4 linked regions of the Arabidopsis thaliana genome follow. The protein of the gene in region 4 interacts with the protein of the main gene of each other region in a biochemical or structural test. Each region holds a gene or a part of one and is shown on either strand. Other genes may lie near its edges. The genes, in order: PIL1, PIF3, PIL5 and PTAC12.

The links.
Region 1: the proteins of PTAC12 (region 4) and PIL1 form a complex in vitro, tested with the Arabidopsis thaliana proteins (one study listed by BioGRID).
Region 2: the proteins of PTAC12 (region 4) and PIF3 form a complex in vitro, tested with the Arabidopsis thaliana proteins (one study listed by BioGRID).
Region 3: the proteins of PTAC12 (region 4) and PIL5 form a complex in vitro, tested with the Arabidopsis thaliana proteins (one study listed by BioGRID).

Annotation. Positions count from the first base shown.
Region 1 is NC_003071.7:19,293,760-19,300,718, reverse strand, and holds PIL1 (phytochrome interacting factor 3-like 1), read left to right. Parts: upstream 1-2,860; 5' UTR 2,861-3,040; coding exon 3,041-3,114; intron 3,115-3,181; exon of another isoform or gene 3,182-3,197; coding exon of another isoform or gene 3,198-3,205; exon of another isoform or gene 3,206-3,288; coding exon 3,289-3,823; intron 3,824-3,904; coding exon 3,905-4,012; intron 4,013-4,100; coding exon 4,101-4,166; intron 4,167-4,271; coding exon 4,272-4,337; intron 4,338-4,700; coding exon 4,701-5,102; 3' UTR 5,103-5,288; downstream 5,289-6,959. Other genes in the region: ASY3 (asynaptic protein), read left to right, coding at 289-423, 602-693, 789-851; CYP709B1 (cytochrome P450, family 709, subfamily B, polypeptide 1), read left to right, coding at 6,507-6,783, 6,883-6,959. UniProt on the Arabidopsis thaliana protein: Transcription factor. Involved in responses to transient and long-term shade. Required for the light-mediated inhibition of hypocotyl elongation. Necessary for rapid light-induced expression of the photomorphogenesis- and circadian-related gene APRR9.
Region 2 is NC_003070.9:3,073,425-3,081,632, reverse strand, and holds PIF3 (phytochrome interacting factor 3), read right to left. Parts: upstream 5,866-8,208; 5' UTR 5,781-5,865; intron 5,233-5,780; exon of another isoform or gene 5,175-5,232; 5' UTR 4,418-5,174; coding exon 4,347-4,417; intron 4,256-4,346; coding exon 3,376-4,255; intron 3,288-3,375; coding exon 3,180-3,287; intron 3,089-3,179; coding exon 3,023-3,088; intron 2,791-3,022; coding exon 2,725-2,790; intron 2,650-2,724; coding exon 2,266-2,649; 3' UTR 1,979-2,265; downstream 1-1,978.
Region 3 is NC_003071.7:8,702,084-8,709,400, reverse strand, and holds PIL5 (phytochrome interacting factor 3-like 5), read left to right. Parts: upstream 1-2,396; 5' UTR 2,397-2,616; exon of another isoform or gene 2,617-2,852; 5' UTR 2,853-2,862; coding exon 2,863-2,960; intron 2,961-3,048; coding exon 3,049-3,754; intron 3,755-3,886; coding exon 3,887-3,964; intron 3,965-4,053; coding exon 4,054-4,119; intron 4,120-4,201; coding exon 4,202-4,267; coding exon of another isoform or gene 4,268-4,282; intron 4,283-4,373; coding exon 4,374-4,712; intron 4,713-4,792; coding exon 4,793-4,876; 3' UTR 4,877-4,961; intron 4,962-5,041; coding exon of another isoform or gene 5,042-5,125; 3' UTR 5,126-5,377; downstream 5,378-7,317. Other genes in the region: AT2G20170 (NEP-interacting protein, putative (DUF239)), read right to left, coding at 6,006-6,392, 6,749-6,895, 6,990-7,040, 7,128-7,283. UniProt on the Arabidopsis thaliana protein: Transcription activator. Negatively regulates chlorophyll biosynthesis and seed germination in the dark, and lightinduced degradation of PIF1 relieves this negative regulation to promote photomorphogenesis.
Region 4 is NC_003071.7:14,579,995-14,587,403, forward strand, and holds PTAC12 (plastid transcriptionally active 12), read right to left. Parts: upstream 4,804-7,409; 5' UTR 4,551-4,803; intron 4,373-4,550; 5' UTR 4,352-4,372; coding exon 4,268-4,351; intron 4,151-4,267; coding exon 3,470-4,150; intron 3,380-3,469; coding exon 3,267-3,379; intron 3,193-3,266; coding exon 2,933-3,192; intron 2,851-2,932; coding exon 2,729-2,850; intron 2,653-2,728; coding exon 2,584-2,652; intron 2,490-2,583; coding exon 2,436-2,489; intron 2,346-2,435; coding exon 2,250-2,345; intron 2,172-2,249; coding exon 2,067-2,171; 3' UTR 1,841-2,066; downstream 1-1,840. Other genes in the region: GPS1 (geranyl diphosphate synthase 1), read left to right, coding at 34-165, 257-343, 444-515, 711-796, 981-1,113, 1,195-1,383, 1,459-1,638. UniProt on the Arabidopsis thaliana protein: Involved in plastid gene expression. Acidic transcriptional coactivator necessary for the transactivation of many PIFs target genes (class B genes), particularly during the regulation of hypocotyl growth.

The sequences.
Region 1 (6,959 bases), 4.7 Mb from region 4:
TCTTGCTTCATTCTTGTGCTTTCATGTCTCTTTGATTAGACACACACACACACCTAACTATACTTTCGGCTCTAACATAGACATGAAACTTGCATTTAACATAGTTATATCAAGACAAAGCTAAATGCTCAATTCATTCCTATGTGGAGAATAATAAAAAATTGAGCTGTGTATTGTTGTGGAACATGAGAGTCTGGAAATGTCTCCATATTTCCACTCATTGAATAAAAATATGCAAGATCCGTTCTGATCTATTGTGTTCACTGATAATATCTAATCGTCTAACAGAGCAAGAAGAGAAAATGAGAATGATCCATGAAAAGTTCAAGGACGATGTCAGCCATCATCTTGAAGATTTTAAGAGTACTATCGAAGAGCTTGAAGCAAACCAGTCAGAGCTGAAAGGAAGCATAAAGAAGCAAAGTATGTTAACTTCTGTAATTCCTGCTTTTACTACAACGAATTCTAACACTAGAAATACTTGAAACATATGATGTTATCAAAGTTAGATTCTTCATGGCAAGATAGTTTTAATATAATAATAGCAGGAGGACAAGTATTTCCTAAACTCACTTGATAACTTTTTATCTCTCTATGACAGGAACATCACACCAAAAACTCATTGCACATTTTGAAGGAGGCATCGAGACAAAACTGGACGATGCGACCAAAAGAATCGATTCTGTAAACAAGGCAAGTCATTGTTCTGCTTCTTAAGAGTCAGATTCTAAAAATGGTTAAATCATGAATTCAAAAGCACAACTTAAAAATGACGTATTGGTTTACAGTCTGCGAGAGGAAAGATGCTGCAGCTGAAGATGATTGTCGCAGAATGTTTGAGGGATGATTGACACTGAGTCTCACAGAATCAATCAACCACACGTACGTCGTTATTCTCCATTTTAAAACATAAACTAGACGAACTGTGTTAACCAGGAAAGAAAAACCTCTCAAGCAAAACCAGCCTTTGGTTTAGTGGTCTCATGAGTTCAGGCGAATAAAGAAGATATAGTAGATGATGCTTTGACTCATTGTCATTGATTCGTATTCGTATAGAATAGTTTATTGTTCACTGAACCACTACAAAACTACTTATATCATAGAGCCTTATTTTATATAGCAGTTTGAAGGTTTCTTTTTAATTTATTTTTGCCAGCAACTGCAGATATTTTTTATTAAACCAACAACTTTTAATTAGGTTATTGATATCTTGATATATATCGAAGCAAAACCAATCCAAACATTTTTCTTTTAAAAACCAGAATATTTTGCAGACGTTGATGTGAATTTTAATTACAATATTTTACTTTAACAGAGATGTATTTCATATTGAATATCAAAACCAAACTGAACAAAGAATGGTCACAATTCGATATCAATCGAATGAAACAGAAAATAAAATGTTGGACCCAACAATTTTACTGTGATGATAAAAACATGGTAGAGATAATTTTGTTTGTAAATAGAGAGATCTCAAATCACAGAGGATTCTTTTTTTACGGTCGGTAAAAGAATTTAGAATGTGTCGAGAGGGTAAAAATGGAGAAGACGACAAGATAGTAGCAGTCGTTAGAAACAAACAAGAAAGAAGGGAGGGAGACAAAATAACACAAAGGGGTGGATGAATCACGCGGCATTCACGTGAAGTGCACGTGAACTTGGCCAAAAAAAGCCTAATTGTGGGTCCCATTTAAAGAGAAAACTAAAGCCTTTAAGAAAGGGCCCATCCATATATGTCTTAATAATGGCGTGAAGGTTCTTTCCGCTCACGTGGGCCTTTTGTGCCCGTCTCTCTCGCATGTCACTCACTACAGTTTTACTAGTGTTTTGTTTTATTTTTGATAACAACATTATTGATTTTTTTTCGGTCTACCTAAGTTTTGACCTTTCTTTTTTAATTGTGAACAATTGAACATGCGTATTACTTATTGATAATACTTTTATCTTCAATAAAAAAAATAACACACGAACATAATATAGAAATAGTGTGTTCCAATACTGGAGATTATTTAGTAAGTTCAGTTGGACGCTTTGTCATTGCATAGTTTGGAATTTATTCCTAAACTTTCTAAGAACACGTTCTTATAGGAATTTGCATGACGAAAAAATCAATACTAGTTGCATTATTGTTGGAGCATCATCGGGAGTGATTTTTTTTGTGTTTTCCTATTTACTACATTGTGTTTTCCTGACCTTTTAAATAAAAAGGAAATACACAAAACCATATATAAATATATGTATATATATATCTGACTGTGCTCAAGTAAAATTCACGGATCAGACGTTAAAAAAATGATCATGCTTAATATTTTCTCATTTTAGATGAAGACAAAAAAAAAAAAAAGGAATTGCAATCGTAGATTTGACTTTATTTTTATTTAATTTTTCTATTCTTTTTCCGAAAGCAGAGAAAAATGGAGCGGTGGAGAGTAGAGAAGTCGGTCATAAGAATGTCTCTCTCTCTATTTCTTTGTCTTTCACTATCGCCCATACATTATCTTGCTTCTTTCATTTATTCCATCAATATTTTTGTTTTAAAATGAAAGATTTACACATTAACATGAATACTTATACTACTCTTTATCGCGTATATATAGTATAGTCTATGTTATTATGAATTTATGATTATATTTTTTCTATAAAACGTGCGAAAACTCATTTCACATATACAAACAAATATATACGTTTTGTATTAAAAAAAAGCAACTGTAAATTTTATAAATCTGAAATGTAACATTTGAAGTCGACCAAAGTTTGTAAGGTAATAATTTGTACTAATTCTCCATACTGTGTCATAATCACGATTCAAGGATAAATATATGAGTTGTGGACCAAAACAAATCCTCCATATCAATCAATCATAAATGAAATAAGCGAATATACATATATACAACCGACTATATATATATATATATGCTGCTCTTCATTAACCCCAAGAAAGAAAACCAAAGTGTGAAGTCCGAATCTCTCTGATTCTACAATTCACAAAAACCGGAAAAAAAAAAAGACAAGTAAAGAAAGCTTTGTTCAGTTTACTTCAATGGAAGCAAAACCCTTAGCATCATCATCATCTGAACCAAACATGATTTCTCCATCATCAAACATTAAACCAAAGTAAGTTTATTATGGTTTCATCTACACTTTTTGCGACTTCTATAAACATATACACATGCGTGGTTTTGAAATAATGGGCGCTTATGGTTCTGTCGGTGCTTGAAACAATTTTGTCTTCTCCTGACTATTTTTTTTTTGTTAATAGGTTATTTATACGTGACTCTTTTCTTGCAGATTAAAAGATGAAGATTATATGGAGCTGGTGTGTGAAAATGGGCAGATTCTTGCAAAGATTCGAAGACCAAAGAACAACGGTTCTTTTCAAAAGCAACGTAGGCAATCTCTCCTGGATTTGTATGAGACCGAGTACAGCGAGGGTTTCAAGAAAAACATCAAGATTCTTGGAGACACACAAGTTGTTCCGGTGAGTCAGTCTAAGCCACAACAAGATAAAGAAACCAATGAACAAATGAACAACAATAAGAAGAAGCTAAAGTCCTCCAAAATCGAATTTGAGAGAAATGTTTCGAAAAGCAACAAATGTGTTGAATCATCAACATTAATTGATGTTTCTGCTAAAGGTCCAAAGAATGTTGAAGTTACTACAGCTCCTCCTGATGAGCAATCTGCAGCTGTTGGTAGATCCACGGAATTGTATTTTGCTTCTTCATCGAAGTTTTCTCGAGGAACTTCGAGAGATCTAAGTTGTTGTTCTTTAAAGAGGAAGTATGGAGATATTGAAGAAGAAGAATCAACCTATTTAAGTAATGTAAGAGAAATTAATTAGCTGCTTGTCTTAGTTCTTTCACATGGTAGATCATTAATTGTCTTTTTCTTATTGCTTATGCAGAATTCAGATGATGAATCAGATGATGCGAAGACACAAGTTCATGCGAGAACAAGAAAGCCGGTGACTAAAAGAAAACGAAGCACAGAAGTCCATAAGTTATATGAAAGAGTGAGTTTATATGTATGAAAATTTCACCTTAGTTAGTAGAAAAAAAATAATGTATGAAAATTAATGCTAATTAAGGATTTGTTAACAGAAACGAAGAGATGAATTCAACAAGAAAATGCGTGCTTTGCAGGACCTACTACCAAATTGTTACAAGGTTTGAGATTAACTTAAATCACATTACATTGTTTACTTAGTCTTAGAGAGTTAATTAATTTTCTCTTTGTGGAGATTTCTGAATATCTGTAATTGTTGATGATAGGATGATAAGGCTTCATTGTTGGATGAGGCTATCAAATATATGCGGACCCTTCAACTTCAAGTTCAGGTATTCAAAATAATACACCAATTCAATAAAATTTCATTGAGAGATAATAAAATGATTCAGGTGTTAATTATTTAAACACAGACTTGTGTTTATATTTACATATAAATTTGTTTTTTAACATTAAAATATACTTTGTAAAGTGTTTTTGTTATCAAATATTATTGCGTTTGGCTTTTACCTTTACGAATGATTCTTGATAAAGTCACTAGAAACTAGTTTCATAAGAGAAACCAAAACAAATTATAAACGTAATTAAACACTAATCAATAAACAATCAAAAGTTTATTCCTTATTTATTTTACTACAAATTTTTTTACATATATATAAGATTCTTAATTAACATGCTCTAATAATTATTTACAGATGATGAGTATGGGAAATGGATTAATAAGACCACCTACGATGTTGCCAATGGGTCATTACTCTCCCATGGGTCTAGGAATGCATATGGGTGCAGCAGCAACACCAACATCAATACCGCAATTCCTGCCTATGAATGTTCAAGCAACCGGTTTTCCGGGGATGAACAATGCACCACCACAAATGCTAAGCTTTCTTAATCACCCAAGTGGACTAATTCCAAACACTCCTATCTTTTCTCCATTGGAAAATTGCTCTCAGCCATTCGTGGTGCCTTCGTGTGTTTCTCAGACTCAGGCTACTTCTTTTACTCAATTCCCAAAGTCTGCGTCCGCCTCAAACTTAGAAGATGCAATGCAATATAGAGGAAGCAACGGTTTTAGTTATTATCGCTCGCCAAACTAATGATTTGTAGAAAGTTGATGTTTTCTCCAACTAACTAACTTTAAGCAAAAAAAAATGATCGTCTACTCTGTGTTGTTAGTCTATGGGCTTTTGGGCCTTGATTCTTGGAACGATTTGAACTTAATTCCAACTATTTTCAAAGTGGATGTACAAAGTAAAATATAACAAATATAAGTTATCATAGACTCTATAACAAAGTTATAAGTAGAGGACGTGCAATTGCATAATGATGGATGATGATGAGTGTTCAATTACGATAAACCGATTTTAACGCAAACCCAACTAAGATGAAGACAACTCATTTGACCTAAATCGTAATTTGAAACGAATTTTGCCATGTTTTTGGGATTAAGGAACAATCTCAATGATGAGATTGAGTAAAGTACTACAAAACTTGGGCTTGATGGGCTTTTTAGTGGACTAATATCTACTTTATTCTTTCTTTTTTCAAACATTAAAAAATTAATTGGGCTTTTTCAAACACGAAAACAAGGGAGTGCAATAGTGTGATGAAGATGAGACTCACACATTGAATTTCTGATATTTTAGCGTCAGGTGCGTTGAAAACTTGAAATCAATGTGAAGATTCTCTTTTAAAAATAGATGACTCTTATTTCATGAGTTAACATGATACTTAAAGAAAGTGGATAGTTAAGTCTAAACCAATTCTTTTAGTATAGAAATAAAATTTCAACCACTTCCTTTAAATATGAAACCATGCAAAAGTAGATAACAAACGAAAAAGTGTTTCATTTTAAGATTCGATGTCACGATCCATCACATTGCACCGTTGGTTGATAAATATCTCTCATCTTTGTTTATTTATTTTCACAATGTTGTACTTCTATTTCTATAACATTTTCGTTTGAATTCAAATACCAAATTAACTCTCCAAACAATTAGTTCATCAAGTATTTTGTTCACAATGATATGTTAACAACAAATCATTGATTCATTGTCCATGCCGGATTATTTTAAAGATACAGAAACAGTAAACCTAAGATACAATGAATGCTAAAACTAAATTATTCTCCCAAAAGGATTACTTAGCTTTCATGAGTAATTTTATATTTTTCTTTTATCCACTCATTTTTTATATACTTTCTATAATTGTCTTATTACGTAACAAATATGTGCTATAGGCATATTTAGAATCTACTCTATCATCATACCATATATAAGACACATTTTACTTTATTAATTACTTTTTGTTTGTTCTCAAATTGAAAATAAACAGACGTGTTTGTGCTAACTTCATGTAGTGTTTAGATAGTGTTTCATTCACTGGCCATAGACTTATTTTACAAAGTTATATGTGCATGTCATTATATAGTGTAGAACTTAAAACACCTAACCAAGAACAACAATACACACACACAAACATAAGGAAAAAAAAACTTTTCCATGGGGCTCGTAATTTTCTTGGCACTAATTGTCTTAATCCTTATTATTGGTCTCAGGATATTCAAAGCTTTTATGATTCTTGTTTGGCATCCATTTGTGTTGACCAGAAGACTCAAAAACCAAGGAATCTCAGGCCCAAATTACAGAATCTTTTACGGAAACCTCAGCGAGATAAAGAAGATGAAGAGAGAATCTCATCTTTCGATTCTTGATCCTAGCTCCAATGATATTTTCCCTCGTATTCTTCCTCATTATCAAAAATGGATGTCTCAATACGGTGTCGTTTTCTCCAACTCTCTCTTTGTTCATCTTTTATTTTAGATTTTATTCGAGGATAATGCGTAACACACAAGTTATCTATGTTATATATTATTAGGAGAGACTTTTCTTTACTGGAACGGAACAGAGCCAAGGATATGCATCTCAGATCCTGAACTTGCAAAAACTATGTTG
Region 2 (8,208 bases), on a different chromosome or scaffold from region 4:
TAAAGGATATAACCACCAATTATATTGACTAACGAAAATATGCATCCAATAAAAGTTTGTGGAAGTGTACAATTTTTAATAACGCTCTACAACGATGTTGATGGAAGATTTTTCGGCTTTTTTTTGTGTTAAAAAGAATTTTATTAATTAGACAAGGAGAAAGGGACTTATTAAAAAGTATAGAACATTTAGTCATTTTAGATTAAGAGGATGAGGTCACGGAGAAAGAGATAGAGGGCCCAATGAGAAGTGACCTTAATTGTATTATTGTATACCATCTTAATTGGCCCGTTTAGCACTAATCCCATCATCAAGGAAACATTAGCACATGCATGCACTTTGTACTAAGGTCCCTTTTCATTATTTTCTGTTATCTTTTTCTATATTTTAAAGTTTCTTCTAAATATTCCTTTCGTTAATAAAAAAGCAATGTTTTCTGATAAATATATTATGCCCCCAAATTGAAAGATAATCATTTTTTTATTATATTTTTTAATCATTTTTTTGGCTGATGCTTTTCTAATTAGTTGAGTTATTGTGGATTGAGTTAGTTTTTCAAATAAAATAAATGGTTTTATAATACGATTTTGATGATTATATACTTGTTAATTAAGTCCTTTATTTTATGTTGTAGTTCTACTGAAAAAATACTTTTGGATTATACGGAAAAAAATTAAACACCCAAGTGGTTATGCTATTTTTACTAATTGCTTGCCTCATTTGCTTTTCCAAAACTGATCATTTGATTTGTGTTTTGTGATTTTGTGGTCGAGAAAAATATCAAACTTAGAAAAGAAGGCAAATAATATTACAGATTTGATTAAAAGTGAGAAAAGAGGGCTTGTATGGTTGAATTTCTCTCTAATATGGCCCAATCTAACTGGTAAGAAAGGAGAGAAGAAGAGACATAATCATAGGTAATCTTGATATATTAATGTAGCCAAAAGCAAAATGATGTTTAACTTTTCTTTTGCTTTGCCACATTAACACCATTTTCTTCTATTTCAAGTTTCGATCTAAACCTCGTGTAATTCATTAATTTGTCTCCCTAGGTGTTCGACGTGTCCATTTTCTACTGCTTGTTGTCTTTCGTAATTAGTTAGAGCTGTCTAATCCACCTCCATTAGAAGATACAAAATCTAAATGGAAGTATAAACCCTTTTTTGTTCTTCTCTGCTTTCCACTATATAGACTACCTTTTTCAGTACTAAAGGTTTTAATGTTTTATTTATTATGCATTACTTAAGTTTAATAAGTCTCATCAATTTAAACGAGGACAGAATCATCTAAATTTCTCTTCTATATATTACTTTTAAGAAGTCTTTGGTGCAAAAATGTTTGTGAAGACGCGATTTACCACACAGAACTTAAGTTTACGCTAAAGCTATATAGCCTATATATAGGGGAAACTATTAATAAAAGTCTGCTCGCTGGCTGGCAGGCTGGGTATATAAAACATCTCTAACTATAGAAACAAGCATCTACGAGAAGTTGACAACGTTTTGTGAACATAAAACAAAGTAACAAACTTCCTAAAGAATTGAGGAAGAAATTTTTTACTTTCGACAAAACTCCCAATCGATACAATCATGGACATATATATAGCTTCCAGCATCCGAGAAACAAATCAGGAGCTCACATTTGCCCTCTTCCAAACTATGGTTCTCTAGGCTCTAGCTCAACTCCTCCGATCGTTGACCTAACCCTAACCATCGATTCCCTTTCTTTTTGTTAAAGAAAACGTAACAGTCATGCGTGAGCGAATCACTTACTACGTATAACATAAACTACATATCAAGCTAAGTGATGCGCTCAAACACCGTGTATCATGTAACTTATATACACCCTATAGGTTCCAACAAAAAAAAAAAAAAAAAAAAACTTCCAATAATTTCAATTTTCGCGTGGGTATATATTCAGCTTCACTAGTTCAATAGTCCTGGCCCAAAAAAAGAAAAAAAAGGAAATCGAAAGAAAATGTCATAATTAAGTTATTTAACAAAATGGGCTGAGAAGCCCATCACGCTTGTTTAACCAGGTCCATCTATATAGTGAACCCCACGCTACATTAAAAAGGGAACAAAACCTTTGAAAATATTAAAAACATTTTTTAATTCAAAACAAGAAACAGAACAGAACCCACCAATAAGCACAAAGCTCTTCACTGTTATAACGAACACAAATTAATTTTGTTTAGGATTATAAAATAGATTTGTTTGAATGCTACAAATAAACAATACATCAGTTCATAAGTTTGTATTTATGTCACGACGATCCACAAAACTGATCAGAAGACCCCTGTTTTCTCTTTATTGGTTTCAAGTTACTGTTGTTATTCGTCGTTGTTTGATCTTTAGAACCAGATAAATCTCTAGTCGAGCCATTGCCAATCGTCGAAGAACCGGCAAAGATACCACCACCAGAGACACGTGGAATACCCATCGCCACTGGTTGTTGTTGCATCCCCGAGACTTGGAACTGTGGTCCGTGGTTAACCGATGAACCACCACGGCTCAAATCAGGCAAGCCCATTGCATAAGGCATTCCCATACCCATTGCCATTGCAGCAGCTGCTGCCGGGTAATGCCCCATACCCGGTGGGAACATAACCGCCGGTGGCAGATAGTAACCAGACGCCATTGACATGATCTGTTGGCGATTATTGTGTTTAGATTATTAGTTTGCACGATTTTTATCGACTCTAGAGAGTAATGAGAGTGTTACCTGCACTTGAAGTTGGAGTGACTTGAGATACTCGATGGCTTCATCTAGCATCGAAGCTTTGTCCACCTTTAAACCATATAAATGTTACAAAAGCTGATTAAATACGAAAATTCTCGGCTTGAACAATCTTGCTTACAATATGGTTTCAATTGTTTTTCCGGTTTAATAAATACGGAAACCAATCAAAAACCTTTAGCAATTCGTTCTAAGATGCAAGTTTTAGTTTATTTGGCATTGCTCCTTATCTTTCAAACAAAAATGAATCATGAATGGTATTTGTAAAGGAGAAGAAGCTGACCTTGTTACAGTTTGGAATGAGTTCTTGCAGGGCACGCATCTTCTCGTTGATCCTATCACGCCGTCTCTGAAAATTGAGGACAGTAAGTTACCAAATATAGCAATCTTTTGTGAGTTTGAGAATGGACAAAAACCCTTTAGGGGCTTCACTCACTCACCCTTTCAGACAGATTATGCACTTCTGCAGAGCGGCTTCTCTTTGAACCCAAACCCGTTCGAGATGGACCTGCTTCCTTTCTTCCATCTCCTGATTCTTCTTCCACATCCTGCTCAACAATATTCAATAAAAAAACTGAAGAAAACAACAAAGAAACGAAATTGTAATGTGCATAAAATGACATGAGTTTAACTCACTTCACTATGACAGTCAATGTCTTGAATATTCGAATGCTTTCTCTTTAAAGAAAGTGAAGGACTTTCGGATGGGCCATCGAGACTATTACCCGAGCCAACAGAAGAACATACAACTGCTTTTTCACTCTCTTGGTCTTTTCTACATGAGTCCTCTGATATTAGGCAAGCCTTTTGGTTATCTTTAGGCGTAGCAGAAGCAACAGACTCGTTAAGAACCTTATCTTCAGAGTCTTTAGCTCCAAGAACTCTGGTCTGAAACACATTTGGCGGGCTTTGAGGACTCTTTTCTTTAGTGTCATGAAGGTTATTATTAGTAGTCTTCGCAAAAGTTGCAGGGCGTAAGAAATGTGAAAAGTTGACCAAACTAGGCTTGTTACTAGTAATTAGTGGTTCCTGCGTCTGAGTAAACCGATCCGGATTGGTTTGTTGGCTAGGAAGATCTCTAGCTCTATCACTTCCATACAGAGAATGCGATTGGAAACCGTTATACTGCGACGAAGAAGCAGCAGGAGCTGATTCATTGCCATCCTTTCTTCTCTGAAACAACGGGAAAGCAGTTTGGTTTACCGCCATATCACTCTCTTGCTCGTTGACAGTAACAGGAGACGACACATCACGCAAGAAATCAGAGCAATATCCATCAAGGGAGGGATGATGATTCAACCATGGAACAAAGTCATCGTCTTGACTCAAACCCGTCATTAGTGATGGCACTGACATAGGGATCTCGTCCACCATAGTCGTCTTTGAGCCATTTCCAATCTCTCTAGCTCTAGAAGAGTTTGCTTGTGGTGGAGGAATGTTCCTCGATCTACTTGACTGACTTTGAGTTGATATCTGACCATTTTCCCACACCAGCTCCACAACTTCATCTACAGGTCTGTTATTTTTCACACACAACAAAAAAACACATGAATTTGATGAACTTGAAACAAGGCAGACTTAAAGAGAGACAAGTGAATGGGACTCACGGAGAAGGGTTCCTGTCTTGAGCAGATTCAAGCTTAGCTTTGGTGAGCCTGAAAAGCTCAAACAGAGGCATGGTGTTGCGTTTTACAGAAACAATCTTTTACGAAGTCTTGATCCTAAAAAGGTGAATTCATAAAATAGACGAATTAGGCCAAGAAAAACTTGCCAGAAACAAAAATTGTACACTTTGTAATGCTTAAATTAGAAAACTTTTCAGTTCCCAAATTAGAAACTGGGAAATAAAGAAATAGAAAAGAAATCAATGTCTCAATCATCAATATGCAATATAAAAAAAGCAGAGATTTTCACTTAGTTTAATGGCAACATGATTAGTCAAATCAAAACCAATTGTTTAATCACACTGAAGAACGATTCAAAACAGCGCACTCAAGACCTAATTAACCATCTCTTAAGAAAACCAAAACAAAAAGATCAAAACTTTGATCTTCTTGTCTGAATAAAGCTATCATCGTAGCTGACCTGAGAAAAAGGGTACTGAAGCAATCGAAGTCAGCGAAGAGAGAAAGAGAGAGTGAGAACCTCAAAGTATTAAAGTGGCATCAATCCAAATGCAGAGAACAGAGGAGAAAAAGTCGGCGAATTGGAGTAGTCCTGAGAAAGTAGGCGGAGAGAGAAGGAGATGGAGACAAATCGACGCACAAGACGGACGCAGAGAGAGAAGAGAGGGGACCAAATCGTCTGTAACTGAGGATTTTGATTTTTTGTTTTCACAGTCTCTGAGACTCCGTTTCTCTCGAACATTCAACCTTTTAGCGTCGCCCGAATCATTAGCTCTACTCTTTACCTTTCTCTCTATTTTTCTTTTCTCCCTATATTTATAAACACATAATTAAAGAGAAATTGCTTCATATAATCAAATATTAATTATGTCAATGATTATATATAGTGGATTATATATGTTGCACTAAACATTGCAACAATTTGTTAAAACACACACCAAATACAATTCTACCATGTTTGTTTGTTTTTTTTTGCAAATAAAATGATGAATTTTTGCATACAAATAGTCGATCGTATGATTACTTTGATAAAAATTAAAGACAATGATAATTGCGTATGTATTGTTTTATCAAATAGTGTTCATTCTCTTATTTTAATAGATGGTCAATTCTCTAATATACTAACAAATCAGAAATACTATCTATAGAACCATCTCACTGAGATCTTTGTGATTAAACAAAGTATTGATTACTTTTTTGGGCATGTTGTAGGTATCGAGACAAGTTTAATAATTATCGTAAACAAGTACTAGTTGTTGTATTAGTAGTGGTTTTAGGCTATTAGTAGAAATAATTAATGTTTAATTAGATGTACTATATATAAATAAATTACGGTATTATACAATCCTTCAATTGATATGGTAACTGCTTTCATAAGATATTGTTATTAAACGAGAAAATTAAAGCAAAAGGGACCTAGAGAAGAGAGTTGGAGCATGGTGACCAAATTGCTTCTCACCGACCTCTGCACACTTCGTCTGTCTCTGTTACATGATACAGGTCCTTCGCATTATTACAATTAATTCATGGTGTGTCTATGAATAATTTAATACACTTACAAATATGAAAATAATCATATACTAGAATATGTTATCTTATCTTAAAGTGACATGGGCCTGTGATACACTAAAGTTGTGTGTGAAGAGATGTGTTATCATAAAGGAACACTGCCAAAAAAGCATCACACTCCAAGTGGGGTTGAGCAACCTTGTCTCTCTTTATCTATCTTAATTATTAAAGGTTTGACTTCTCTAATCATTACTATTTTTCTTAAGTCTTTTTTAGTCTTTACGATACTAAATTACTAATCATCCTCAAATTTGGGGACTCACTCAGCAAGTTCTATTAACTGATGAAAACCAATCATTTGCGCTATAATAATTGAGATTTTTTTTAATCATGGGATATAGTATGTGGTATAGTGGTTCCAAACTCTTAGATTAGAGCATATTATCTTTAAATCTAATTTGTTCCTTTCTATAAGTAAAAAATAAATAAAACCATCTAGAATATCAGTCGAGTTTGTTCACGAACGTTGCATCTTCTGGTTTATCTCTCGTTATAGCTCGGTTGATGATGAAATGTCAATTAAATCGCCATGCAAATTAGATTCTAAAATACGTAACAACCCATTGTATACTATAAACTTTCCAAGTGGATAATTTGAGTACATTTGCATGGACCATTATTGATTTCATCACTGTATTTTATGGCCATCTCTTGTTCAGAAAATAATTATAAACAAATTTATTATAAAATCAAACCGAGTAAATAAATAAGTAGATATATATATCAAAGAAAGAAGAAAACTCGGAATGGAAGTGATCCTACTATATTATTTGGGAAGTACATTTGAAATATAATCTTCTTTTTTGTAAGTAATTATATAGGTATGCCATTAGAAATAAAATTTTAAAGAGTAAATTAATTCATTTCTTTAAAAATTAAAGAGTCAAATACTAATTTAATTAATTAAATTTAACTCAAAAACGAAATACATTATTAATTTCCAGAAAAGTAACCAATTAAAATCAACAAATTAGATTTGATATCTAAATTATCATATTAATTTTTAAAATGTAACCTTATTTTTTGTAAGTAATTACATACGTATGCCATTAGAAATAAAATTTTAAAGAGTAAATTAATTCATTTCTTTAAAAATTAAAAAGTCAAATACTAATTTAATTAATTAAATTTAACTCAAAAACGAAATACATTATTAATTTCCAAAAAAGTAACCAATTAAAATCAACAAATTAGATTTGATATCAATATTATCATATTAATTTTTTATTAATTATTATAATTCACCTCTCATCTTTATATGATTCTATTTTTGCGAAAAAATAATATCATCGTTATAAAAAAATAATTAGAGTTTTTTCGCATATGCCACAATTTGAATTTTTAAAAACGAATATAAATTGTTCAGTACATGAAAAAAATACTATAACGGGTCAAAAGTAGATTTAAGAAAAAAAATTACTGAGTACTGTGTCATAATTTGAATATTTATATTCAATTTCATACATATTATTTTAAAATTTATAATCTTATATACTACAATAATTAATAACATATTAGATTTTTTAATGTGTATGATGTGATTCAATTTTTAATACAAGCTGAAAAATCCTACAATTGACGGGTTTAAATCAATATTAATACAAGATGGTATACTACATGTGAAACTCTAAAATTAACAATCAAAATACAAGTATATAATTTTAAACACTAAACAATATAAATAATATCAACAAAACATATACAACTCGTAGTTTCTATACATTTAAAATCAAATAAAATAATATCATATATTTATAATCAATTTTACAATAAAAGTTTTTAGTTTAACTAAAATATAAGCCTATCTGCTGTATAATGCAAGTTAAAATTATAAATAAGCAGATTACCATCACGATGGATGTACCTTCTCACATACACACCTATCAAAAACTTAAAACCTTTCAAAACCTCTTGGTATATTCAAATTAGGATTCTTCATTCATGGAATCATTATTCCAAAGATTTTGGGATGTCTTATGAAATGATTTTGGCAGAAGAGGATGTAAATTTTTTTGAATAAAAAGTACTCACCAAAACATATGTTTATTGGGATTTTTTAGATAATTAAATCAGAGAATAGGGCTGGACATATGAGTAACCCATTCGAGTTCATGTAGAACCCGTTCGGGTTTGGGATTAATGGGTATATGATTTACTATTTAATAGAATAATTCTAAATATTCGGTTCGGGTCGCGTCCAGTTGGGTTTAGGTCAGTTTGGATAAAAAGTTTCAGGCCCTAAAAGTACTCAAAAAATAGAAACGGATATTTTGTA
Region 3 (7,317 bases), 5.9 Mb from region 4:
TAAATTAAATATTTTCATAAATTAAATTATCAATTTTTTTTTGATGAAAAAGATAGACAATTATAGACACATAATGTCTCAAGAGTTTTTTGTGAGTTATTCAAATAAGAGACAAAAATTTTAGAATTTCTCACTTTTCTCTCTTATTTTTTTTTATATTTTATTAGTAATTAAGAGACTCCCATTAAATATGTTCTCTCTTAATGTCTCATTGTTTCAGTTCCTACTTCCTACAAAATCATAATTTGGTAAAGAAAAAAAGCTACATACAATTGCATAAGCATATGTAGTCTATAAGACGAGATATATATGATAATTTTCGGAATATTATTACTTAGCATTTTGTTTAAATATAACCACAATCAGGCTTTAATTTCAGTTTTTGTCTTGTCATTTGCATCTAACATAAAATATTATATTTTACTCTAAAGAACAAAAACGCAAATCATTATTATTCAATCAAAATTTTTTACGACTTTTTTATCAGGAGATAATATTTTTTTCTATTTTGCGTTTTGTTTAATTTAAAGTAACTTTGATGGTAAATCAAAATATATTTTAGATAGGTACAAATCATTTTAGCGGACAAAAAAAATGTACAACAGCAAGAGGGTGATTTAGCAACAAAATTTAGCTTGAAAAAATTGATGTTTATAGATTATGTCTAAATCTGAATAAAAGAATAAATAATTAAGTTTGATAGATCATGCAAGAGGGTGGTTTAGCAACAAAAATAAACATATTACCCTGTCTCATAAATCATTGAGATTATCAATAAAAAAAACACCCAATTTCTGTCTTAATATTGTCCCCACCAATGTGAGTCCATATCTGATTCTCTGTTTCTTTCTTCCCTACTTGGAATTATATAAAAATATGTATATACATATTAATGTGTATATATATATATATATGTGCGTGTTCCCATATCAATGATAAATGCTCTTTATCAAAAGGTAAAATGATTATAAAAAAAAATAAGTTGTTTCATTTTATTTGTTGTTTTCAATGCAAAATTTATTATTATTTTATTATTTTTGATTCTTGAAATTCTGCAACTTTTTATTGGTTAAATTATTTTAAAATATGTAATTAAACATATTTTTAAAATTTAAGAAAACAGAAACTAAATGATCTTAATCAATGTACCAAAATCTTAAACTAGAACAAAATAGAAACAAAAGAAGTATTATAGAAGAAATTAACACTTTGTTCACTAACTTGACTACTATAAATGATTATAAATTAACACTTTATGTAGCATTCGACTTTTCTGTTTATAGAAGAGGAGACTCACTTAAGTCTTTAATATCATGTTTGCATATGTTGTAGTCTTTTGTTTTTAACATCTTTGGATTGACATGGTCTATTCTATAGCCAATATCTATTATGCAAGATAACACGATTTAGTGGAGTCAAACTCTGGTGGAAAAAGCGGAATCAAATGGATTTAACCACAAGACTAAAGGAATATTTCCTGCAAGATATATGTAGTCTTAAATCTATAATTTAGCGATATAAAAAAGGACAATTTTTAAATATGATACTTAAGTTTTTGTTTATTTCTTTAAAAATACCACTTAATGTTTGGTTTCTTAAAATAACATAAAACTTAAATTTAACTTCCAACATTCAAAATTAAACTCTAAACTTTAAACACTAAACCCTAACCCCTAAAAACAATATCTTAAAATTAAAATGGTCAATTCAAACTTAATTTTTTTAATTCTGATGAACTCTTGAAAATCAAAATTGAAGTATAATATTTTTGGAAAACAAAACTTTTGGTGGTATTTTGACAACACAACTTGAAAGTGTGATATTTTGCTACAATACTCCTCTAGAATTCGAGGCTCCCTTAAAACAAAATATTATTTTCGTGTCAGTCATATTTTTTTGAGACATTTCTCAAAATACCACATTTTCAAGTCTTATTGCTAAAATACCATTTCATCCGGTATTCGATCTTCTATCAAAAGAAAATTATATTCATGTAGGATGTCTAGGTTTGGTCCAGACAAGTTAAATGGTAATCTGGTAACATGCGATTCAGTTATGTTTAAGTGTTAATCAGTTAATATTCTAAACTCGGAATAAATGTGTGATGATCCTTGAATATAAATTTATTTTGTAATACTTAAATATATTTTTACCAAAATTAACCGGATCATTGGATAAAGTTTATAAAATAATTTTTTTTTGATGATAATGCCATGAAAACAATTTATAGTACGGATGAGAAACAATGAGGCTGATTATTTTATCTCCGTCAGCTACAAATGATCTCAGACATTTTGTTTTTATGTTCAACTTGGTTTTTTATTCAGAGGTTAAAAAATGGGCACAAGTTTCTATTCAGACACATACACACATAAATAAAATAGAGAATTCACTGTTAAAGTTAGTTGACACAATAGTAAATGCGATACATGCTAGAGTCACGGAAGAGGCAAAAACAAACTCCAAAGAGAGACATATAAGAAAAAGACAAAAACCCTTAAGAAGCTTATCACATTCTTAAAGCACGAAAATTCAGAATAAGATTCAGTCATCCTTTAGCACAAAAAAAAAAAAAAAAAGATCCAGTCATCCAATACTAGTTCCCCAGAAATAAAGGTGATATATTTTTTTTTTTGAGAAGCCTATCCAGTACCAACCTCAATTCTCTAGGTTAGATATAGTCTGGGTAGTATATATGTTTCTTCACTGATTAGTAATCTCTGTGTGTAGTACACTTACTCACTAGTGCTACTCTTTTGGATCTTTCTGGGGTTTTTCTTTTGGTTATAAAACCAGAAGAAGAAGATAACTGTTTGTTATTTTAATACTTACCATTATCATCATCTTTGTAGAGAGAGAGATATGCATCATTTTGTCCCTGACTTCGATACCGATGATGATTATGTCAACAACCATAATTCTTCTTTGAATCATCTTCCTAGAAAATCCATTACTACTATGTAAGTTCTTTTATTCAAACTTATATTAAAAAAAAAAAAAAGTTTGATTAGTTCAAGATCTGAGTATTTATAGTATTGAAAACTTTAGGGGTGAAGATGATGATCTTATGGAGCTTTTATGGCAGAACGGTCAAGTTGTTGTTCAAAACCAGAGACTTCACACCAAGAAACCTTCTTCTTCTCCACCGAAGCTTCTTCCTTCTATGGATCCTCAGCAGCAACCTTCTTCAGATCAGAATCTTTTTATTCAAGAAGATGAAATGACTTCTTGGCTTCATTATCCTCTCCGTGACGATGATTTCTGCTCAGATCTTCTCTTCTCCGCCGCACCTACTGCGACGGCTACCGCGACGGTGAGTCAAGTCACCGCCGCGAGACCGCCAGTATCTTCGACGAATGAGTCGAGGCCGCCGGTGAGGAACTTCATGAATTTCTCGAGGCTGAGAGGGGATTTTAATAACGGTAGAGGTGGTGAATCTGGACCGTTGCTTTCGAAGGCGGTTGTGAGAGAATCTACGCAGGTAAGTCCTAGCGCAACACCGTCGGCGGCGGCGAGTGAATCCGGTTTAACACGGCGGACGGATGGTACTGACAGTTCCGCCGTAGCTGGAGGCGGCGCGTATAATCGGAAGGGAAAAGCAGTGGCTATGACGGCGCCGGCGATCGAGATAACCGGTACATCGTCATCTGTAGTGTCAAAGAGCGAAATCGAACCGGAGAAGACGAACGTCGATGATAGGAAACGAAAAGAGAGAGAAGCCACCACTACTGATGAAACTGAATCCCGTAGCGAGGTGAGTCAAAAAAACACAGAACAGAGTCGTTGTTAGCTATCGTGCGCAAGTCAAATACGGCGCATTTTAGTCTGACTTTGTAGTTTTCAGCGCATTTTTAATTAACTTTTTTGGTGTTTTCTTGTGGTGCAGGAAACAAAACAAGCACGTGTATCAACAACATCTACCAAGAGATCTCGTGCTGCTGAAGTTCATAATCTCTCTGAAAGAGTACGTTTGTGTTTTTTCTTATGTTTTTGTAATCTTTTTCGATAAAGATTTCGCAATGAATCTGAAGAATGTCGCGGATTTGGTAACAGAAACGGAGAGATAGGATCAATGAGAGAATGAAAGCTTTGCAAGAACTTATACCTCGCTGCAACAAGGTCTTCGACGATCTTTTTTCTTTCTCTTCAAGTTATTGTATACGTTAACCTTGTTACTGATTGTTGTTTCTTTGATCCTCAGTCAGATAAAGCTTCGATGCTAGATGAAGCTATTGAGTACATGAAATCTCTTCAGCTTCAAATACAGGTTCATTTTCTTTAAAGGATTCTAAGTCTTGAAAGCCCTTTTTAAGTTCTTGAAAATGTACACTTTACCATGAAAACTCCAGTTTATATGACTGAGATTAATGCAGATGATGTCAATGGGATGTGGAATGATGCCAATGATGTATCCGGGCATGCAACAGTACATGCCTCATATGGCGATGGGTATGGGTATGAACCAGCCTATTCCTCCTCCTTCCTTCATGCCATTCCCCAACATGTTAGCCGCTCAAAGACCTTTGCCTACACAAACTCACATGGCCGGGTCAGGACCGCAATACCCTGTTCATGCTTCTGACCCGTCAAGAGTCTTTGTACCGAACCAGCAGTATGATCCAACCTCGGGCCAGCCTCAGTATCCAGCTGGTTACACGGATCCATATCAGCAGTTCCGCGGTCTCCACCCGACCCAACCACCTCAGTTTCAGGTACTAAACAGTCATCTCTTTCCCAAAAATGACTAGTTCCTCTGCTTACAAGTCACAAGTTCTTATCTTTCTTATTTTAGAATCAAGCAACATCGTACCCAAGTTCGAGCAGGGTGAGTAGTAGTAAGGAATCTGAGGATCACGGAAACCACACAACAGGTTAATAATGTCCATGGAGCAACAAGAAGATCTGTTTTCACAAGCAAACACAATTTCTTATCCGACCCGACCCAACCACCTCAGTTTCAGGTACTAAACAGTCATCTTTTTCCCAAAAATGGCTAGTTCCTCTGCTTACAAGTCACAAGTTCTTATCTTTCTTATTTTAGAATCAAGCAACATCGTATCCAAGTTCGAGCAGGGTGAGTAGTAGTAAGGAATCTGAGGATCACGGAAACCACACAACAGGTTAATAATGTCCATGGAGCAACAAGAAGATCTGTTTTCACAAGCAAACACAATTTTGAGAAATTGACAGAGAGACCTAACATGTATATATATCGCCATCTGTTTCTTGTTTTTCTTTGGTTTGTTTTGTCCTCTCTTCTCAGGTTGTATACTTAGAGAGCTGTACATGTAATGATCCAGAGATCTAGGAATCAATACATAGAGGTTGCAGAGGCTTAGTGCAAAGAATAAATATGAGAAAGTTAGGTTCATATACATACCCGATCATTATTCTTTTCTCGTCTATTATTATTACTTTTGACGAAAGCAATTCTTGATTAAGCTTAACAGTGAATATTTACAAATGTTCCACTCCCAAGTCCCAAAGACTTATCGATACAAATGCACAAACAAATCTTAGTCCTTGCAACTAAGCTCACAATGTGACACAAAATATGTAAATAGACGGACAAAAGCCAGCAAACAAAAGCAAGAAAATTAATGATGTAATTGGCCAAGCATTGCCCATTTTGTAGTGTCTTTCATAGGATCTCTTCATCTAAAAACGTAGTGATGTCAACTAATATGGTATCTCCAGTCCATGACCATAATATCGAAAATATAAAGCTAAAAGAAAAGGCAAACAAATTTCTCAAACCGTTAAGACTTGCTATCTCCATGACCATAAGACTTGACAAACATGCATATATATGTATCAAACCGTTAAATCAATTTTGTATTTGCTTAATAAAGAAGATGTAAAAAGAAGTTTAACATTTATAGTATTTGAAAACTTATATATTAGTATTACTATTTCCTTATTTTTGTCAAAGTTATTTTACTATATATTTCCTTAACACATCAAAATAGAAGGTATACTTATACGTAAATGACCTTAAAGATTTGTTAAGTAATGGTGCATCCTCCTGGTCCTCCATAGAAAATTGCACTAGACCACTCCTCACCGACCCCTGTTTTTGTTTCGACTTTATAACATTTTGGGCTGTTTGCGAATAATCTTAAATCTTTAACTGGTGGACTTCTAATTTTTTCTATTTCACGATCTATCACTTTAAGGCCGTTCACAAAAGCTGCCTTTTTGAAACCTTCTTTTGGGAAATGTCCACTTCCCATGAGTGGGCTTGTACTCTGTCTCAGTGCACTGAAAACTTCTCCTCCCCAAAACACACGACTTGCTCCATAAGCTAAACCTTGAACATGAAACAATGATTTTGGCCAATACCCAATTGGCTCGTTCTTTATCAAAAACCACCAGTTTCCTGTAATATTATCCTGCTTAAACCAAAAGCAGTAACTCTTTTAGAAGTAGCGATTGAAATTAGAGTTTTTTTTTTTTTTTTTTTTTATATATAGGTTTTATGGAAATTGAAACCAAATGAAAACATTTTTAATTCTTGGTTTTGGTTCATGAAACCAAATCAAAACGTAAATTTATAAAGTTTTGCTTATTCTTTATTCGATTACACAAAAATAATTTTGGGTTGTTTCTGACTTGAGTTATAAGTAAACAATAGTAATCATCGGTCGATATTTTTACTACCATTTTTGGTCAATATATATACCTAAGTGTTATGCAACATCGACTTGTCAATATGAGTGGGATTTGAGAAACATGGGGTTATATATACCTGATAAATGATGGCTTGTAAATAGTATTGTTCGCCATCATAAGTGGAAGTTGGTCTGGCAAGAGTTCCAAGTGCGAGCTTGCTACTCACTTGTACAAACCCTGGACATACTGTATTGTAGCAACCTGTCTTCTCATGTCCATCTGCCTGTTTCCATCATAAATTCCAACCAATTTAGCCAGTGTGGCTTGACATGCAATGTAGTGAACTATCAAACTTTCAATATGTTTGAAGAACTTACGGTCCAATATGTAAATAAGCCACTATTATTCTGATTTAGTTTCGGGGACACCTGTAAGATATTTATTTATTTTACAATTTTATAGGTTTTCTTTTTGAATTGTTATGAAATTTTGAAGTAATTTTGTTTTTGACTTACTATCCATCCAGCTGAAATGCTCTGTAAACTGTCTCTAAAACCGTTCTCGACATATATACTTGCAAGACTAAATTGATCAGGGTTGACAGGTGGATCCCATAAATTTATGTTTCCCGTTGCTCCATAGTTGTCTCTATAGTATTCAGCTATAGCAAACTAAGATAAACAAAAGAGGAAGAAACAAAAAAAT
Region 4 (7,409 bases):
GGTATCATAACCAGTCTGGTATCATGTTTGTAGATTTTGCTGCTGATGGCGACAGCTCTGAATGTACGAGTTCCAGAAGCATTGATTGGGGAATCAACAGATATAGTCACATCAGAATTACGCGTAAGGCAACGGGGTATTGCTGAAATCACTGAAATGATACACGTGAGTAACTATAGTTTTACTCATAACATTCATTAAAGATCAAGATCCAGTATCCTCCCTTTTAAAATTAGTAATGCTCGGGTCATTGTAGGTCGCAAGTCTACTGCACGATGATGTCTTGGATGATGCCGATACAAGGCGTGGTGTTGGTTCCTTAAATGTTGTAATGGGTAACAAGGTACTCACTTGACAGTAGAAGCTAAGACATGATTAAATATGCTTTTTGGCGATTGTGCTGCAATTTGGATATGAAGATCACCATTGGCTTCATGTTGTAGATGTCGGTATTAGCAGGAGACTTCTTGCTCTCCCGGGCTTGTGGGGCTCTCGCTGCTTTAAAGAACACAGAGGTAAAAGAAACTAATAAACGTGACCCTGGTATTTTAAACTTTTCGAAGAAATCTTTACTTTTTATAAGATACTGTGGTTGACAGGCTATATTGAATCTCCCGTGATATACAATCTAGAATCAATGACATCTGTCTTCAGAATTAATTATCACTTCTTCGAAGCCATACATCTTCATTGTGTCTCTTTTTTTGTAGGTTGTAGCATTACTTGCAACTGCTGTAGAACATCTTGTTACCGGTGAAACCATGGAGATAACTAGTTCAACCGAGCAGCGTTATAGGTATAATCTTCTTTTCTGGTCGATAAAAACAAGACTACTCAAGTCTTCTATGCTACTAATGTATGTTTGAGAATCAAAACAAGAGTCGATTTTATCATCAAAAACCCGATCGCGGCTTATATAGGAACTGGAATTCATATAATAGTGATCGGTAATGCAAATATGATTTTTTTCATGATTGCAGTATGGACTACTACATGCAGAAGACATATTATAAGACAGCATCGCTAATCTCTAACAGCTGCAAAGCTGTTGCCGTTCTCACTGGACAAACAGCAGAAGTTGCCGTGTTAGCTTTTGAGTATGGGAGGAATCTGGTTCGTTGTCTTCTTCTGAAAACTTTGGCTCCATTGCAACTAATTTTCTTACAGTACTTTGATGAACTTCTAATTTTTCAGGGTTTAGCATTCCAATTAATAGACGACATTCTTGATTTCACGGGCACATCTGCCTCTCTCGGAAAGGGATCGTTGTCAGATATTCGCCATGGAGTCATAACAGCCCCAATCCTCTTTGCCATGGAAGAGTTTCCTCAACTACGCGAAGTTGTTGATCAAGTTGAAAAAGATCCTAGGAATGTTGACATTGTAAGTTTGAAAGAAACAAATCTCCTAAAATCTATAATATGTTTTCATAGTCTCTAATACTATTATATCACACAGGCTTTAGAGTATCTTGGGAAGAGCAAGGGAATACAGAGGGCAAGAGAATTAGCCATGGAACATGCGAATCTAGCAGCAGCTGCAATCGGGTCTCTACCTGAAACAGACAATGAAGATGTCAAAAGATCGAGGCGGGCACTTATTGACTTGACCCATAGAGTCATCACCAGAAACAAGTGAGATTAAGTAATGTTTCTCTCTATACACCAAAACATTCCTCATTTCATTTGTAGGATTTTGTTGGTCCAATTCGTTTCACGAAACAATAATGTTTGACAAGCTGTGGCTTTGGTTTTAAACTACACATGACAAAAAAAGGAGACAGATACTAATTGTGAAATCATATTCCTTGCGAATTCGGTTTAGGTCTTGTTTTAACAGATTAAACCGTCTCAAGCTGAACTAAACAGGATGCAGTACAGTTAACAAATCACTTTCAAAACTCTATAAATTCAATCAAAAATATTTGAATTCCATATGATACAAATCACTTGCAAAACTCAAATCCACTCCTAAATGATATCATCCCTTCCAAGTATACAAGCAAAACCAGTGAAGAAAAAGTTGCCCTAAATAACGTCTTTACATAAGAAATACGAAAACCAGGTTTAAGGATCAGTCTCCTCTTCAAAGTCCATGAGAAAATCAGTTAAGTTCTCAGCATCATCCACGGCCTCGTCTAGAGACATCCGACCTTCCTTCTTTGGTTTAGGCTGTTTAAGAAACCAAGCTCATAACATCAACACACCACACAAGACATATAATGTGGCTCAAGTTGAATGTGACTTTACCTTGGCGGTGCGAAGCTCAGGGGTTTCCTTCAAGACACTCCAGTTCCTCGGCACTTTCTCGTCGTCTTTTTCTACATCTGCATCGTCTTCGTCGTCCTGTCAAAAAATGTCCGGAGATGTTTCAGAGCATGATACATCAAGAAACAATAAAGAAGAAGAGGATCTGATGTAATCGATGATACTCACATCGTTTTCACCAATATCAACAGCTTGTGCCATTGCATCATCCATGTCAGGTACCTGCATTCATACAATTTATCGAACATATCAAGCGAAACCCTGAAATCTCACAATCAGAGTTGTGTCAAAGGAAATGAAAGATTGGTCACTTTACCTCGAGCTGCTCGGTTTTCTCTTTTGTCAGTAGTGCTTCATGCATCTCTCTTGAGATGACTTTGCCATTCTGATCAAATCAGAAACAAAGAAAACAATCAGACCAAGAAAGAAAAAGAATAGAACTTTGAGCAAAGCAGACTAACCTCCTTTAGATAAGAGAGCATATTTGGTGTAGGCTCATGAAAATCAGGTCCTCTGAAATCCATAACCGCATTAGGATCTTGAATGTAGTTAATTGTCGGGTAAACTGGATCCCCGCCCCAAACTGCAAGAAACCGAGAATGTTAGTCGAACGATTGAATATCCATGATGAGTTAGTTCAAACTTCAACGGTCAAAGTTTCTTACTTTGCTTAATTTGATCCTCCCTCATCCGCATTGCCAATGGATCTCTCTTGATCCTAATATCAGTTCCCATCATTATCCGGTATTCTCTATCTGTTTGATGAGAGAACATCTCAATCAGTTGTGTGTTTTCATCTTCACCTGTCTCTTCAAAATGTTTTTGTACAGCTTCTCTTGACGTGTCTCTCTTCCATGCTTTAACCCATTCAGAATAAAAAGCCATTGGACCTTCTTTCGCTAATCTCTCTCGCTCAGCTTGCAGCCTGAGAGAAAGAAAACTCGAAAGAAAATCCTAATAAAACAGATTTTCACTTGAAAGTTCGTTAGATCAATATACCTCTCTTCCTTGAAAAGATGCCTTCTTGCTCTATAAAGAGAAGTTTCTGTGAGTGTTGGTTCTTCCCCATAGAGCTTCACTTGTCCTGTTTCTGCCATTGCCTTGAGGAAAACCTGCATCAACAACAAAAAAAAATACCATAATGGATCAAACATTGGGGAAACACACACATGTTTAAACCTGAAATCATTGTGATGACTAACCGTTTCAACATCAGGACGTCTTCTTTGCCATCTTGACCATTGTTCTTTCTCCGGTTTCCTCCAGTTCCACCACGATTCATCGCTCGTGAGTGTCTTTTCAATTTGTTTCTTTTTCGTAGGATCAATGAAAGGATGTGGCCTTCCAAGCTTTTTGTCTAATTCAAAACCAGTCTCCTCTTCTTCTCTCTCAAATTCATTCTTATAGGTAACAAACCCATCCGAGGAATCATTTTCCTCTTCTTCAGAGCTATCCTCAGAATCGGATACTTCGTCATTCGTTTCAACAGTCACATTCTCCTCAGTAGCTTTCCTATTCTTCTTTCTCCTACTTCCAGGATTCTTTCCATAGGAAGGAAAACTCGAAGACTCACCAGCTGGTTGAGGAGCTCTAGCAGCTCTAACCCGGCTCGAAGTTCCTTCAGGCCAATAATCCTCACCTGGAATACTAGCCCGAGCCCCGGACGCTGGCTCAAGCTTCCCAGAAGTTGAATCCATATAACTATGGTAAGGATGCCTCTCAACAGTCACATACTCAAATCCTTCTTCACTCTTCTTAGACCCTTCACTTACATCACCATCTCCATCCTCTTTCTTGCATTTGATACAATGTCGCAAAGACCGATCCCTAGAAGTAATCCCAGCATGCAATGTCTTGAGTGGAAACCCACATTTAACCCGTCTCTACATACATAAACAAACTTTTACCAGTTTGACATCTTGAAACAAGCTAAAATGTTCACTATCTCTAAATTAGATAAGTTTGGATCAGAACAAGAAACTTGATGTGTAAGAACCAACCTGCACAATACAATTACTGGACTTTCCACTGTCTGTGCATACTTGACCTCGGTAGAGCCAGGTGGTGGTTGATATTGACGCCATTTACACTCTTTCTACTTCTCACTGTATCATTTACAAAAACAACCGATTCAATTATGCTCAGAATCAGTTTCAAACTAGTACAAAACATAAAACCCAGATAAGAAGAACCTGATACAACAAATTGTCCATAACAAGGTACGATTTTTTTGGGCATTTTTACAAACGCTTCACACTCGAAGTTGAGGAGAAAAAGACTAACCTTTTTGTTTTACCAGGAGATTATGTAGGAAGAGGGTTTTCTATCATGGAGCTTGATTTTGAAGGGGGTTTTGGCTTCAAAAGGTTTTCACTTGTCAGTTTTTGGGTTTATCCATTTATCTCCTCCTGCGTTTATTAACATATTCTGGTGACGGCAAAATCTCTAGATTTCACGACGCGCCGGTATTAGAACGGGAATTTGTGAAGAGAAAGTATATGGGCTTGGTATATCTAACTAAGGCCCAGTATTAATGGATCTTTGAGAAATTGTGAGCTTGAAGTCTCTCTTGGGCTTTAACAAACACTTCCAAGAAGAACAAAACATCTTTTTCTTTTTTGGCAAAACATCTTCTAAACAGTTTATTATATTGATATACTTTCAAATAAAATCAATATGTGATTTGATCATTTAAAACATGCCTTAACACAAAAGATATATGGAAGAATGTTTATCGAAGTATGCATGTGAACACATCTTAGTTTTGTTAATAGATTTGCAATTTACAATTGCGATTATACAATTTTTAGATAGTTCTCTCCGTAATGGATTAATATAGTGGACTAGAGGAACATGTTACACAAAAAACATCAATCATTGTACCTTTAAGTGAATAAATACTTGTATATGATTTGTACTTCAGCGTGTGTACGTACTTGTCTAAGACACTATAGAAGGAAGAAGGTTTGGACCCAACGTGAATGGCAATTGGCTAATGTGCTAATATGGTCTGAACCAATATTAAATGGGTCTGACCAGACACATCATAGACATTACGGTATCTATCACAGGCCTATTTTAACCTAATATCCTACACTTTTTATACATTAATACTACTATTGCTTACTTCAAACTTGCTAAACGACGATAATATTTATTTCTAGGGACCAAACATATAATTGTTTTTTTGGTTTTCTGAAATTTGGCAGACGTAGACCACGTAAGACTATACCACAAAGGTCTGACTAGGCACAAGTTTCGCTGACCCGCACGCGCCTAACGTCACCTTTTGAACTATTCGTGCAACGAGCGAGACTATCCATGCGGCGTCGTTTTTTCCCAACTTCCTCTTCCTCTCGTATTGTCAAACGGTCAAACCTATACTCCTACATAAGAAAAAAAGAATCAGCAGCATATAATAGCAACATTTGAAACTTCATAAGCATATATAAAGCTAGAGATGCAAACTAAAGACAAACAATATAGCAGTTTCGAATTATATAATAGATACAATAAATAAAAAAATAAAAAAAGAATAACAACCTTTTATCAAAAATAATACTGTAATAATAATAATTTGGATACTATTACTATCTTTTCGAGTTTGCTATTTTACATAAAACAATATGTCAGGGAAAAGAATCTCAAAGCACTAAAAAAAACTGTAATTTGATGCTTTTGGTGACCGTTAATAAATGAGTGGCTAATTGGAAATCTCGTCAAACTTTTTCTGCGACATAATTCACTTCCACAAGTAATTGGAACAGAATCTCACAAGTGGCGACGTGTACTTACCTCCACATGGCACCTATCCGTTCGCTAAAAATATACTCCATGTATAGATGTGTGTAATATTACATGTGTATAAAAGCGACGACGAGGATAATCACCTCGATGAGTATTTGAGTAGATGTGGACTTGTCATGAACATTTTAGCAGAGAGACAATGCATGCATACAAACAGAGAACTAACAAATTTCTTTAGTTTTTTACCATTCGTAACTTAAAAAGTTTATTCTTTATTTACTTGTAATACACTTTTGTTAAATGTTACATAGAATAATCTCCGATTTATACATTATTTGATCAGTGATCATAGTTACTAGTATCTATTAGTTTATGGTATGTTTTGCCACTGTTGTTCAACAATGTTGCAATTCTTACAAAATTCTTGAATCAACATTCTTTTTAACAATCAACTATCGGTTAAAAATATGAACTAATAGTATATGAGCTGCTGGTATGTTTTTCTACCAAAAATCAGATATTTTTCTTTGTTTATTGCATTATGATTAATCTAAACACTAACTAAAATTAGTAGTATTATTACTGATGAAATAAAACAAAGGAGTGGTGGGGCAGAGGGAGGACAAGAACGGGACAGTGGCATAAATCAGACTGGTGAAGCTGTCCCTTGTGTTGTTGGGTACATCCCATGTGTTGTCACACTTCTCTTCTTTCTATTATAGTATTAATCAAGATCTAACAAATCATGTTATTTTATGTGTTTTCAATTATTAATCACAATTATTCTATACTCCATTCATTTCAATTGTTCACCGTCACAAGCTTGGTCCGATGATACAAAAAATTGTTATTTAATGTACATATATATAGATATACCCGATCACCTACTATGTTCCCTTGTTTTTGTGTGGTAATGAGACAAATATCAAGTTTAAAGCTAGACCAGAGATAGATATCAACAAGCATTTGTGTGAAAGGATATTTTTCATTAATTTAGTAACGTGTGGGCAGTTTTCTATATACAATTCCGTGCTAGTCACTGAACAAGTGTAGCTAACAATGTTCTAAGTTGCTCTACCAACCTCGAGCAACTATGTGTACTCTTGCTTATAACACGTCATTACAAGCTATTCAATCGAAATGTCTTGAGGGTGATGAAACTGACGAAATTCGACTGAATAGAGAATGAAAATATCTTGAGGAAGAGCTTCGGTCATAATAGCATCATGTTAGTTGACATTACAAACATAAATAGCTACCTTGAGAAAACTCTTCTTCATATCATCACGTACGCTGTGAGTGACAATTGATATTTGTGTTTAGTAAGTGTATGAGAAACAAAATTTGTATGTGTGGCATGTTATCGCAGAAAAACTCGGTGATGTGAATCTTTAA